2 linked regions of the Stegostoma tigrinum genome follow. Each later gene encodes a partner of the first gene's protein in a complex. Links are inferred from orthologs where the notes say so. Each region holds a gene or a part of one and is shown in the gene's direction. Other genes may lie near its edges.

Region 1 (7,037 bases):
GTCTTTTTCCGACACCAGTATGTGTCTGGTCGAAAAGCAAAGGATACAGTGTTGGACCTGGTTCTTGAAAATGAAGTGGGTCAAGTAGATCAAGTGCCAGTGGAGAAACATTGAGGAAGAAATGATCATTCTGTTGTAATGTTTAGGATAATGGAGTAAGTGATAATGTTCAATACAGAAGTATGAAAATAACAGTTGGCATAGACCCGACTTCAATGGGCAAAAGAAAGGAGTTGGGCTGGATTGACTGGAACGAAAGGTTCAGGAGACACTGTTTCTGAGCAATCGGCTGTGTCAAAAAAGGAGATGGTTTGAATACACTTGAGTTTAGAAGGATGAGAGGGGATCTGATTGAGGCGTATAAGATTATTCAGGGATTGGACACTCTGGAGGCAGGAAGCATGTTTCCGCTGATGGGTGAGTCCAGAACCAGAGGACACAGTTTAAAAATAAGGGGTAGGCCATTTAGAACAGAGTTGAGGAAAAACTTCTTCACCCAGAGAGTGGTGGATATATGGAATGCTCTGCCCCAGAAGGCAGTGGAGGCCAAGTCTCTGGATAGTTTCAAGAAAGAGATAGATAGAGCTCTTAAAGATAGTGGAATGAAGGGTTATGGGGATAAGGCAAGAACAGGATACTGATTGTGGATGATCAGCCAAGATCGTAATGAATGGCCTACTCCAGCACCTATTGTCTATTGAATACAGTCAAGGTGTATTCCTTCAAATAGGAAAGATAGGACAAACAAATCCTGATGTCACTGGATGACAAATGAGATAGAAATTAAGAAAAAGAGAGAAAAGTATTTTTATGGCAGGTGTCAGGTTGAAAATACAATTGAGGACTAAGCAAAAGATTAAAGATTCAGAAGGGAGTTGAGAAAGCATGTTAGAGAAGCAAAAATGAATTACAAGAACAGACTGGCAGCCAACATAAAGGGAACCTCAAAGTCTTCAAAAGATGTAAAATAGTGAGGGAGTCACAAAATGTGGGATAGGACGAATCAAGGATGGAAAAGGGGATTTACATGTGGAGAATGGGAGCAAACTAAATTAATAGTTTGCATCTGTCGTAAAGAAGGAAGTGATTATTACCCAGGTCATGGTGACAAAGGTTGGTCACTAGAGCCAAAATTACTGGAAGAAATGTTGTATTGACTGTTGGTACTTAAAGTTGACAACATCCTGGGGCTGGCAGATGCATCCAGGATTTATTAAAGAAGTGAGGGTGGAAGTTGCAGTGACAGTGGCCAAAATCTTTCAGTTTTCCCTGGGCTCAGGAGAGGAGTCAGAAGACTGTAGAATTGCAATAATCACACTCTTGTTCAAAAATGATGTAAGGATAAGCCTGGCAACCTGAAGATTAATCAATTTAACATCAGTGGTAGGAAAGCTTCTGGAATCAATTATTTGGGGTACAATTTGTCGTCATGTTGAAAAAAGTAGGTTGATTAGCATGAGCCAAGATGCATTTCTAAAGGGGAAATCACATTTAACTAACTTGCTGAAATTTTTCAAAATACAGGAATTAATCAGTATAAAGTTATTGATGTGGCATGAATGGACATGCAAATACCATACCGAAGATGTGGAAAAAGTGATAGTTCATGGAATAAAAGTGACTATCAACATGGATACAAAATTGGCTGAGTAACAGAAAACATAGATCAGTGGTCAATTGATATTTTTTGTGCTGGAGGAAGATTTTTAATCGAGTCCCCCAGGGGTTGCTATTGGGATTCATGATTTTCTTGATGTATATTAATAGTCTGGATCTTTGTACATAGTGGATAATTTCAAAGGATATGGATGATTGTAAACTGTGTGAAAGACAGTGGAGAAGTTCAGAAGGACGTGGACATGTTGGTGGAGTGGGTGGTTAGGTAGCAGATCAAGTTTAATGCAGCAAAGTGAGGTACCTTGGATATTCTAAAGGGGTTGCAGAAACAGAGGGTTCTGGAAGTAAACATGCACAGATTATTGATGATAGCAGGGCAGGTGGAGAGAGTAGTTAATAGACAAGTAGTAAAGGAGATGATGTTGAACTTATGAAAGGCACTTGTCAGGTCTTAGCTGCAGTATTGTTTACAGTTATGGGTGCCACACTTTTGGAAGGATATGAAGACATTGGAGAAAATGCCAAATATATCTACAAAGATGGTTCTTGGAATGAGAAAGCTTAGTAATAGGAATAGAGGGGAGACTTCTTTTTGTAGAGGACAAGCGTAAGAGGCGAGCTGATGGAAATTTTCAAAATCATGAAGGGGTAAAGTAGACTGGGAAAAACTGCTCTTGCTTGTAAAAGAATCAAAAACAAGAAAACACAGACTTAAAATGATTTGCAAAAGAAGCAAGTGAGGTGTGAGAGAATTTTTTTTTACACAATGGGCCGAGAAAATGCCGCCTGAAAGTGTAGTAAAGGTGGATTCAATTGAGATATTCAAGCGGGCATTAATGACTGTTTCTGCTTAAATAATGTGCAACAGTAAAGGGAAAAGATACAAGAATGCCAGTAAGTCATGATGTTCGTTTGGAGAGTTGGTGCGGACACAATGGCTGATTAATTTCATTCTGTGCTGTAAAGACTTGATGATCCTGTGATTTTGCTTTTACTGAAAGGTAAGAGTTTATCCTGTAAATTCTCCTTGGCACGTTGCTTTGTCTGTCTGTTTCAGTTGCTGATTGCCCAGCTATATATTTAGGAAATTTATGATTTCATTTCATAATTCTAGACTTTTCAGCATTACTGTTTGTTTAATTCAATTGAAGATTCCTGATTATCTAACATATGAAAACTGCATTTCAAGTGGCTTATAAATGTGGACAGAACTGTAAAGTTAAGTGAATGCTTTAGGGTAGATTGCCAGCACAACTTTAGCATTGATGTGGAACAATTTTCATTTCACATTTTTGTTTCACTGCAGAGCCAGAGTTAGGGTCTGATGTGATCCTAGAGTGAAGCAGTGTACAATTCTCTGCAGATAATTTTCACTTAGTTCTGCAGTGGCACTATGTTGACTGAAAACTGAGTATAATGTTAAACCTGATTTGAAACAAAAAAAGGTTCAGTCTTCAATGTGAAATTGAATATCAAATGTTTTAACGTTAATTTTAATATTTAAAGACAAAATATTCTCAATATTTTATCCCTATTGGGAAAATGCTGCCTGTGCAAGAATCAAACTGCACACAGACCTCGCTACTGAGAGGAATAGTTATTGTACACTTGCAGCTAGACAGATGCTGCACTACTATCTCATTGAAATTGAATACTGTTGATTAGTATAAATTCACATTTTAAAGTTACATCAACCATTTGATTTACGATGATTATCTACTCTTTATCCATTTAATAGCTGTGCTGAATGCAGTAAAGCTGGCATATCGGATAGAAATTTTAACAAATTTACACGTGATGTAAAAATATCAGTTATACCTCGAGGTCCTCTATCATAATTCAAGAATTGATCAGTTGTTTGTATCCATAATTACTGTATTACATATTACATTTTTTTCTGGCTAGCATAAATAAACATCACTTTTTTTCCCAAACGTGGTTTGTTCCAGAATGTGAGTAGAGAATTCATGTTCTAAAATTACTTTGCCCATTCAACAAATAACGTGGCGTGGTAATATGTTATTTCTCTAGCAACCTTTCAATATTCTTTTGATCGTAACTAACTTCCAATTTTTAAAATTTGACTCTGCGTTTACGATACTTTTTTACTGCATAAAATGCAATAAGTAACAGCTTTAGACAGAGGGGAAGGGTATAGTGCGGATACAGTTACAGATCCATGGACAACTTTTAAGGCGCAAATAAAAATGAAGGTGTGTTTTGCTGTCCCTATTTCTGAAGTTTGATGGGAAGCAGGCTGTTGTTACATTGTGGCAGGGGAGCTGGCTGCTCAGTGTCGATGCACTGGTTACAATAGTATTGAAGCTCTGAGAGCCAGTGAGTTGCCTGACGTAATTTAGCAATGAAAGGATACAGTCTGCTCCGTACAGTATACAACTGTCAGGCAACGGCAGAGAGGGAGAGCGAGCGCATTGTGCCCGGAGCCGCAGCTTAGAGACGATGTGAGCAACTTCAGAAGGAAGGTTATGTCTGAGTGTGTCGGGGAGAGGGAGGGCGGAGGAGAGAGAAACAAGACAGGAAAAATTCACAGACCGTAGACAGGGCGGCCAGCCATCGCAGAAACACAGAGTTGACGGAGGGGGAAGAAGAGGAAACATTTGCAAGAATTGTTGTGTGCGGCAAGAAGGCGCTTTGCTCTCATTCTGGGGAGCCAGCTAAAAACATGGCGACTGTACCAGTCTACTGCATCTGTCGGTTACCTTACGACGTAACTCGATTTATGATTGAATGCGATGCGTGCAAAGACTGGTTTCACGGCAGGTAAAAGGCAGCTTTGTCCTCTCTCTCACCCCCGGCTCCCTTCCTTCCCCGGCCTTTGTCCGGTTTTTTTTGTTGTGTGATCTGGTTGCCGCTTTCGGTGTGTGTGTGTGTGGCGGTCGGTCGGGCGGGCGGTCTGTGAAGTGTTGGCGGGAGCTGTGCAGTCCATTGACTGTGGCGACAGTTTTACAAGAAGCGAGGCCTGAGGAAGAAGGCGGCGCTGCAGACGGCTCTCTCCGGGTGACAGAAGCTATTTATCATTGTGTAAATATTCGCCTTTCTGAGAGATCAGCGCCCCCCCAACCTCCAGCAAGATGTTTGATGATGGCTGGGGGGCGGTGGGGGTTGTTTTTGTTGTTGTTGTTGTGGTGGTGGTGGCGGGGCCCCGTAAAGGATGGCGTTTGTGAAGACAATTTGTATTAAATGTTGTGAAAGGTGTTCCCCATGTTTTGTTTCTGATCAGTGATCCTTAAAATCTCCCGAAATAAAACAGCTGAAGATATGTATACGCAAATTATGTGATTTTTGCACCGTCTGAATGTGTTTACAAATCGCAAGGCGCTTCTCTCCTGCTCACGACCGAACTGGTGGGATATTTTTGAGCAGCTCTTGGTGATTTAATAATCTACGATTTCTGCCCCCGGGACGATTCCCGCTTTTGTTTAAATTGATAAAATAAGCGGGACCTGATCGGGCAGACGTAAATGTTGACATTTAACTTGCGTTTTATTTATAGTATTTCCACGTGTGGTTTCTGAAAATAAATGTCAGAAGGCCTTTGCTGACGTTTCTTAATCCCTTGATTTTCAGTCCGTTTTTAAAAAGAAACGGGTTTCACTGTTAACTGTCGATTAATTTTGAAGTTAAATAGCACCTGAAAGTTTTTTTTCCCTGATGCATGCAACATGCCAGGAATCCATTTCGTCTATATTTACTGTATAACGAAGAAAAAAGACAAAATGTGTTTGGTCTGGCGGTTTGTACAGTTAGTGTTTTGAAATTGTCCTTCTTAAATACGTTTAGGAACATAGATCACCAGCACACAAACTTCTTCAAAGTTTTTGGCGCTTACCATCTTATGTGAAATAGAACATACCATTTGAATGTTTTTGGTGACTTAAAAATACAATTTCGGTCAGTAGCTCCCCCTTCCCATTAGAAACTTATGAATAACTAACTTTTCGAGAAAAAATCGATTGCTTAATTATATATTTAAGTTTTTTTTTCTGAGTAAATAAATAGAGCAGAGACATGTGTCAACTCATAATGAAGCTGGAGTTTTCTCCCTTCAACTTCTCCCGTATGAATCCAATCTCTGGTTCGGTCAAGTAATAAGTAGTTGACTGACTGAAGGGACTGTCGTGAAGATTACTCACCTGTGGCTGAATCATGCTGCACTTAGCTGCTTTTAACGATTTCAGAAAAGCGCTAGAAGCCCACCAAGCTGGAGATTGATCAGAGGACATTTTAAAAAATAATAAAAATTAGGTTTTTTTTTCGTATTCTATCACCAGTAGTTCAACCTATGTTAAAAATTAACTAAAAGTTTCATCAGCTGTATTAAATACTTTTTTATTTAGACATCTTTTGACATTTTAGCCAAATCTTGATCATTTAATATTTAGAAACAAGTGTGTGGTCACTGACAGACACTCGTCAATTTATTATCATTTTGCGAATGTACAGTATTTATAATTAACTGATTTGAGCAGGTTAGAAAGTAACTGGCAAACAGCTAACTTTCTTTGTCATAGTTTTGACAGCTGAAGCTAACTACACTCTCTTGGGTGGTTAACTGGCAAATCTCTTTAATATGCAGTGATAATGGGAACTGCAGATGCTGGAGAATCCAAGATAATGAAATGTGAGGCTGGATGAACACAGCAGGCCCAGCAGCATCTCAGGAGTGCAAAAGCTGATGTTTCGGGCCTTGACCCTTCATCAGAGAGGGGGATGGGATGAGGGTTCTGGAATAAATAGGGAGAGAGGGGGAGGCGGACCGAAGATGGAGAGAAGAGAACATAGGTGGAGAGGAGAGTATAGGTGGGGAGGTAGGGAGGGGATAGGTCAGTCCAGGGAAGACAGACAGGTCAAGGAGGTGGGATGAGGTTAGTAGGTAGGAGATGGAGGTGCGGCTTGGGGTGGGAGGAAGGGATGGGTGAGAGGAAGAACAGGTTAGGGAGGCAGAGACAGGTTGGACTGGTTTTGGGATGCAGTGGGTGGAGGGGAAGAGCTGGGCTGGTTGTGTGGTGCAGTGGGGGGAGGGGACGAACTGGGCTGGTTTTGGGATGCGGTGGGGGAAGGGGAGATTTTGAAGCTGGTGAAGTCCACATTGATACCATTGGGCTGCAGGGTTCCCAAGCGGAATATGAATTGCTGTTCCTGCAACCTTCGGGTGGCATCATTGTGGCACTGCAGGAGGCCCACGATGGACGTGTCATCTAAAGAATGGGAGGGGGAGTGGAAATGGGGAAACCAAGCGGAGGCTTGGGGACCGCTTTGCAGAACACCTCCGCTCGGTTCGCAATAAACAACTGCACCTCCCAGTCGCAAAACATTTCCACTCACCCTCCCATTCTTTAGATGACACGTCCATCGTGGGCCTCCAGCAGTGCCACAATGATGCCACCCGAAGGTTGCAG
Region 2 (7,547 bases), on another chromosome or scaffold:
CTCAGGCTTGGAGGGCCGAAGGGCCTGTTCCTGTGCTGTAATTTTCTTTGTTCTTTGTTATGGGGAGAAAGCAGGATTAGGCTTTTGAGTTGGACAATCAGCCATGAGCGTGAGGAATGGCGAAGCAGGCTTGAAGGGCTGAATGGCCTCCTCCTGATCCTATCTTTGTTTCTATGACGATACTTCAAAATTACTCAGGTGGCTTTAAAGTGCTTTGAGATGTTGAATAGCCATGAAAGGTGCCACAAAAATGTAAATCCTCATTTTCACAAAAATGTCTGATTAGCACTATCTTAGCCATACTTAATGGCTTGTAATATGGAGGTTTAATTTTACTTGGACATGTTCAAGAAATAATGTCCTGTACTTACCAGCTTCCCATGGATTCCAGGGTTCTGCTGATCCAGAGACGATCTCTCCCCCTGAAGGAAAACTGACATGTTTCTTTGGTTTAGCTTTCAGTCCATTATTTAAACTTGTGTCCTGTTGAACAGTAGTGACATCTTTGGCATCCACATTGTTAGTGAGTACAGATGTTTGCAGCTGTCCCTCGTAGGCATTTTCTGTTGCACTCATCTCATTGTTTGTAGCTTGATGTGAAAACACAGTCACAGGTTCTCTCGTTTCACAGAACTGTCCATGTGATACCTTTCACAGTAGTTTAATAATTTAAAAAGAAACTACATGAACCTGTCTACTGAGCTAGAGATTTTCATATTCACTTTGTCTTCCTCACAAATTATTTTTCTTCCATGAAGTAAATATTTAATTACAGTTTTATGTGCTTCATACCTCGTAATCAGGTTTGTTTTCCTGAATGTTTAATATAAGAAAAATATTGCCAACATCTCTGGAGTTATCCAAATATGCATAAATTGCATGAAATTATACCAAATACATCCCATTACCAACAAATATAATGTAAAAAAAAACTAAAAATACAATATTTTATGTAAAATAGATCAGGGCTACTTATCAGTCTGTAAGATCTAAGGCTAATTTACAAATTTTCCTTCCTTATTTTCTTCCATCATGGACAAATACCAGCACTAGTTGATCCTCTCTAACCTGTCCATTGTCAGTAGTTAGAGATAACAAAGTGTGGAGCTGGATGAACACAGCAGGCCAAGCAGCATCTTAGGAGCACAAAAGCTGACGTTTCGGGTCTTGACTCTTCATCAGTAAAGCTTTATTCTGCTGTGTTCATCCAGCTCCACACATTGTATTGTCGGATTCTCCAGCATCTGCAATTCCCATTAATATTGTCAGTAGTAATTGGTTACATGACCAAACAACTAGACTGAAAAGACCGGGCTGGTCTCAGAGTAGCAGTTAGTTAGATGATAATGCCTATGGGGTATTCCATTATATACTTCAGTTAAAAAAAAGTCCCGCTGCTAATTTTATTTCTTCTAATTCCATTAAATGTTTCGGGGGGAAAAAAAATCATTGAGAGAAAAGAGGAAGTGATGATGTAAAGTGGGGCCATTCGATCTTTTTGACTTCATGGGCTCTGCAAGTGTCTGCCACAGGACATGAGGGTCAGATGCAAATTTGAAATTAAATTTGTGATCTCATTAATTTATCCATATTTCAAATTGCTGGTATTAACACATCCTTACTGAGGCACAAGTCAGAGTTTTATAGTGTGGGAAAGTTCAGTCCATTATTTCTATGCCGGAGATCAAACTCCTATCTACTTCTTGAATGTTGTGATAGCTGCCACCTTTACTATCTTTTCAGGCAGTGAATTCCAGATTCACACTGTGTTTGGGATTAAAATGTTCCCTTAATCGCCTCTAAACATGTACTTCAAATCCCTGTCAAAATCTGAAAAACTGTGGTTGTTGTAAATCAGAAACAACATCAGAAACTCAACCAGAAACATTAACTCTGATTTCTCTCCACACTTATTACCAGCAATTTCTGCTTTTGCTCCTTAAATCTATACCCCTTGTTATGGAGTACTCTACTAAGGGGAAAAGATTCTTTCCTAACCACCCTATCTCTGTTGTTCCATAATTTTTGCATTTCTCTGTCAGGTTCCGCTTTTTCCCTTCACTGCTCTAAGGAAAACAACATCAGCCTAACTATTCTGTCTTCGTAGCTGAAACATTCCAAACTCAGGCAACATTTCTCTCCAACAGTGTGAACTTTACTTCAGTTATGGCTTAAGTAGCATGTTGTGCAGGTGCATCATAATCTCCCTGCTCTTATGTTCAAAACCTCAACTAATAATGGCAAGCACCCATATGCATTCTTTACCACCTTATCAAACTGTCCTGTTGCTTTCAAGGATCTTTGGATGTGCACACTAAAGGCCTTCTGATCACATGCATTTCCTCGGGCGTCACGACTTTCTTGTCTTGTCATCATGTACACCGAAATGCATCACTTTATACTTTTTTGGATTAAATTCCATTTGCCTTGTTCTGCCAGCACATCTATACTAGCCTGTCATCGAAGGCTTTCCTCCTTTCAGTTCAACAAACCTCAATTTTCATGTGATCTGTGCACTTCCTGTATAAACCTCCTATATTCATGTCCAGACCTTTAATGCACACTACAAACAGCAGCGAAGCAGCAGCAAACAATGTGGTACACCACTGGTTATAAATTTCCAGACACAAAGACTATCACACTACACAAACTGCCTCCAAACTGACTCCAATTTGCCAGATTTCCCTGGATTCCATGGGGTCTTAGTTTCTAAACCAATCTTCTATGTGAAACCTTGTCAAGAGCCTTACTGAAGTTCATGTAGACTACATCCAGCACACTTCCATAGATTAGGTGGTGGCATGGTAGTATTATCACTAGGCTACTAATCCAGAGATCCAGGCAATGTTCTGGGGACATGGCAGGTGACAGAATTTGAATTTAATAATACTCTGGACACAAAAGTCCGCTGATGGCCATGAAACAGTTGTCGATTGTCAAGGGAAAAAACCCATCTCATTCACTAATGTCCTTTAGGGAAGGAAATGAGCCATCCTTACCTGGTCTGGCCTACACATGACTCCAGACCCACTGCAATATGGTTGGCTTTTAACTGCCCTCTGGGCAATTAGGAATGGGCACTGAATGCTGGCCCATCCAGAGATGTTCACATCCTTTGATTGTATTAAAAGCCCTCATCCACACATCTAGTCACCTCTTCAAAAAAGTTGTTAGGCATGATCTCCTCTTGACAAAGCCATGCCATTCTTGATTAATCCTTGTCTCTTCATGTGGGGATTAATCTGTACCGCAGAATTTTCTCCAACAGTTCCTCCACCACAGATGTTAGACTCACTATACTTCCCAGTTTTATCCCTACCATTCTTCTTGAAAAATGGGTCCACATTGGCTGCGCCTCTGTCCTTTGGCACATTTCCTGTATCCAGAGGGGATTTAATGCCAGAGCCCTTGAAATCTACTCTGTTGCCACCCACAGCAACCTGGGATATCTCTCACCTGGTTTTATGGTCTCACCCAATTCTAAACCCATTAGAACTGTTAACACCATCTTCTGGTCAATTGTAGTTACTTTAAGGTACTGATCAAAAAATGTACAAATGGATTCATCCAAGATTGAGGTCATAAAATGTAAACTTGTTAAACTAGAAAATATGAAGTTATAAGTTAACTAAACTTCAAGGGCCTGATGGGCAGGCTAAGTTGTAACACCCCTCCATTGAGCTACAAGTGAGCTACCTAAAACAATGAACACAGAATAAAAAAGACAGAATGCAACATACAACGAATGAGAAAAAATCTGCCTATATTAACAGATGTTATTTTCACTTTGAGATTAAAGTGAACCATTTCTGAAAATCTAATCAAGTGTTTTTTTTCCTTCAGAGTAGTAGATTTGGGAAGGATTCTCAATGAAAACAGAAGGAAGAGGTTTTCATGATCTTGATCTGGCAACAGTGAAGGATAGCAACAAAGTTCCAAGTCAGGATGGTATGTCTTAGACAGGAACTTGCAAATGGTGGTGCCATGCAGCGATTTGGACAGAAATCAATGTTCCTGGTGTGGCTTCTGACCTAGACACATGGCTTCTACCTGGCACCTGAATCCGTATGTGGTGACCCTGCCAAATCACCAGGACACCCCCCAAAGCAAAAACAGAAATTGCAGAAGAATGTCAGCAGGGGACAAAATGCAGATGGAAATTGACATACCATGATTAAGTCTGATGAAGAACCACTGGACTCGAAACAGTAACTCTACTTTCTCTCCACACATGCTGCCAGATCAGCTGAGATTTTATAGCAAATTCTGGTTCTGAAGGTGAGATGATCTCCAGTTCCAAAGCTCTCATCAAGGATTTGGGGGTTAAGTGGGACTCTGCAGCAGAGGTGGGAGAGGTATTAAGTTGTTGTTGTTGTTGTTGTTGTAGGCTTTGATGGACAGTTAGTGGCTCCGCCTCCCGACTCACAATCTCACCGCGGATTGGGCAAAGGGCGGGGTCCGTCGCGGCTAATGGGATGCCTCTTTACTCATTGCGGTGCTGACCAATGAGGAGGATTGTTAGTGTGATCTGGCACGGGGCCACGGGAAATTGACAGTTTGTGCGCCAATTTCAGAGAGAGCGAGAGCGAGCGACCAGAAAGATCTCCATCAGCGGCTGGGGTGAGTGTGACCTGGGGTGGGCCAGATGGGACACAAGGCAAAAGGAGAAAACGCAGGCTCACAGCAAGCAGGCCGAAAACTCAAGCTGATCGCCCCATGTCTATTCACCGGTCTGTGCTGGAGCTGCTTCCGCATTAACCCCCTTAATCTGCATTACCCCCCCTCCCTCTGAATTAACGCCCCCTCCCTCTGAATTAACGCCCCCTGCATTACCCCCCCTCCCTCTGAATTAATGCCCCCTGCATTACCCCCCTCTGAATTAACGCCCCCTGCATTACCCCCCCTCCCTCTGAATTAACGCCCCCTGCATTACCCCCCCTCCCTCTGAATTAATGCCCCCTGCATTACCCCCCTCTGAATTAACGCCCCCTGCATTACCCCCCCCTGAATTAACGCCCCCTGCATTACCCCCCGTCCCTCCCTCTGAATTAACGCCCCCTGCATTACCCCCCCTCCCTCTGAATTAACGCCCCCTGCATTACCCCCCCTCCCTCTGAATTAACGCCCCCTGCATTAAACCCCTCCCTCTGAATTAATGCCCCCTGCATTAACTCCCCTCCCTCTGAATTAATGCCCCCTCCATTACCCCCCCTCTGAATTAACGCCCCCTCCATTACCCCCCCCCTCTGAATTAACGCCCCCTCCATTACCCCCCCTCCCTCTGAATTAATGCCCCCTCCATTACCCCCCCTCTGAATTAACGCCCCCTCCATTACCCCCCCTCCCTCTGAATTAACGCCCCCTCCATTACCCCCCTCCCTCTGAATTAACGCCCCCTCCATTACCCCCCTCCCTCTGAATTAACGCCCCCTCCATTACCCCCCTCCCTCTGAATTAACGCCCCCTCCATTACCCCCCTCCCTCTGAATTAACACCCCCTGCATTACACCCCGCCTCCGAATTAACGCCCCCTGCATTACCCACTCCCTCTGAATTAATGCCCCCTGCATTAAACCCCTCCCTCTGAATTAATGCCCCCTGCATTAACTCCCCTCCCTCTGAATTAATGCCCCCTGCATTAACTCCCCTCCCTCTGAATTAACGCCCCCTGCATTAACTCCCCTCCCTCTGAATTAACGCCCCCTGCATTACCCCCCTCTGAATTAATGCCCCCTGCATTACCCCCCCTCTGAATTAGCGCCCCCTGCATTAACTCGCCTCCCTCTGAATTAATGCCCCCTGCATTACCCCCCCTCTGAATTAACGCCCCCTGCATTACCCCACCTCTGAATTAACGCCCCCTGCATTAACTCCCCCCTCTAAATTAACGCCCCCTGCATTAACTCCCCTCCCTCTGAATTAATGTCCCCTGCATTACCCCCCCTCTGAATTAACGCCCCCTGCATTACCCCCCCCCGCATTACCCCCCCTCTGAATTAGCGCCCCCTGCATTAACTCCCCTCCCTCTGAATTAACGCACCCTGCATTACCCCTCCCTCCCTCTGAATTAACGCCCCCTGCATTATCCCTCCCTCCCTCTGAATTAACGCCCCCTGCATTACCCCCCCTTCTGAATTAACGCCCCCTGCATTACCCCTCCCTCCCTCTGAATTAACGCCCCCTGCATTAACTCCCCTCCCTCTGAATTAACGCCCCCTGCATTACCCCCCTCTGAATTAATGCCCCCTGCATTACCCCACCTCTGAATTAACGCCCCCTGCATTACCCCACCTCTGAATTAGCGCCCCCTGCATTAACTCCCCCCTCTGAATTAATGCCCCCTGCATTACCCCCCCTCTGAACTAACGCCCCCTGCATTACCCCCCCCTCTGAATTAGTGCCCCCTGCATTAACTCCCCTCCCTCTGAATTAACGCCCCCTGCATTAACTCCTCCCCCCCCTCTGAATTAACGCCCCCTGCATTAGCCTCCCCCTCTGAATTAACGCCCCCTGCATTAACCCCCGTCCCCCTGCATCCCTCTGCCTGAACCACCCTCGTCTTCACCCCTACTGCAGTGGCCTCCTGCCACTCCTCCCTGCAAACCCATCTGCTCTACTACCCTCACTCCAGTACCTGCCAACCCCTACCCTTACCCCAAACCCCCCCCCCACACAGACACCCTCCCTGCTGTCCCCACACTGTTTTCCCCCCCCCCAACTCTTCCCGCACTGCCTCTTGCACCTCCTCCGTCTGCCCACTCCCTCCACTGTTTGCCCTGTTGCTATCCTCTTCAACCCCTCCTCAACCCCTAATAATGTGATTCACCAAGGAATATGGTCATAAAGTAGTAGAAATATACAGCAAGGAAATAGACCATTCGGTCCAACTTGCCCACGCTGAGCAGGCATCTTAAATTAATCTAGTCTTATTTTCCAGTATTTGGGCCATTTCCCCATCCAGATGCCTTTTATACGTTGTAATTATACCAGCCTCCTCCTGTTCCTCGACTAGCTCATTCCATACATGCACCACCATCTGCTTGAAGTTTTCTCTTGTGTCCCTTTTACTCTTTTTTTTTTTCTCTCTCCTTAAGCCTATGCTTTGTAGTTTTGGATTCCCCAGTTGTGGGGAAAAGATTTTGACTAGCCATGCCCCTCATAGTTTTATAAACCTTTATAAGGTCACTCCTCAGCTGCTGACACTCCAAGGAAAATAGCCCTAGCTTATTCAGCCTCCCCCATTAGCTCAAACCCTCCAACCCTGTCATCATCTTTGTAAATATTTTCTGAGCCCGTTCAAGTTTCACAACATCCTTCCTATGGGAGGGAGACCAAAATTACATGCAGTATTCCAAAAGTGGCCGAACTAATGTTGTGTACAACCCCAACATGACCTCTCAACTCCTATACTCAAATGTACTGACCAATAAAGGCAAGCATACTGTAAGCCATCTTCACTACCCTGTCTACCTGACGCTCCACTTTCAAGGAACTATGAACCTGCACTCCAAGATCTGTTTGTCAGCAGCACTCCCCAGGACTTTACC

The links.
Region 2: the proteins of phf2 (region 1) and vrk1 are in contact, whole or in part, in a crystal structure (PDB 8F8Y), measured with the Homo sapiens proteins. The link is inferred for Stegostoma tigrinum from reciprocal best matches to the Homo sapiens genes PHF2 and VRK1. Residues at the interface, in NP_005383.3 of Homo sapiens: Tyr7, Tyr14, Val16, Thr17, Arg18, Phe19, Met20, Ile21, Glu22, Trp29, Glu39, Ala42, Ile45, Asp46, Tyr48, Lys64, Tyr145, Ser147, Glu150, Lys175, Val178, Asp179, Tyr182, Ser183, Thr184; in NP_003375.1 of Homo sapiens: Pro2, Arg3, Val4, Lys5, Ala6, Ala7, Gln8.

Annotation. Positions count from the first base shown.
Region 1 is NC_081364.1:27,942,274-27,949,310, reverse strand, and holds the start of phf2 (lysine-specific demethylase phf2), read left to right. Parts: upstream 1-3,942; 5' UTR 3,943-4,300; coding exon 4,301-4,398; exon of another isoform or gene 4,399-4,548; intron 4,549-7,037. UniProt on the Homo sapiens protein: Lysine demethylase that demethylates both histones and non-histone proteins. Enzymatically inactive by itself, and becomes active following phosphorylation by PKA: forms a complex with ARID5B and mediates demethylation of methylated ARID5B.
Region 2 is NC_081363.1:21,077,865-21,085,411, reverse strand, and holds the start of vrk1 (serine/threonine-protein kinase VRK1), read left to right. Parts: upstream 1-4,504; 5' UTR 4,505-4,620; intron 4,621-7,547. Other genes in the region: si:dkey-288a3.2 (protein phosphatase 1 regulatory subunit 37), read right to left, coding at 372-648, 2,266-2,373. UniProt on the Homo sapiens protein: Serine/threonine kinase involved in the regulation of key cellular processes including the cell cycle, nuclear condensation, transcription regulation, and DNA damage response.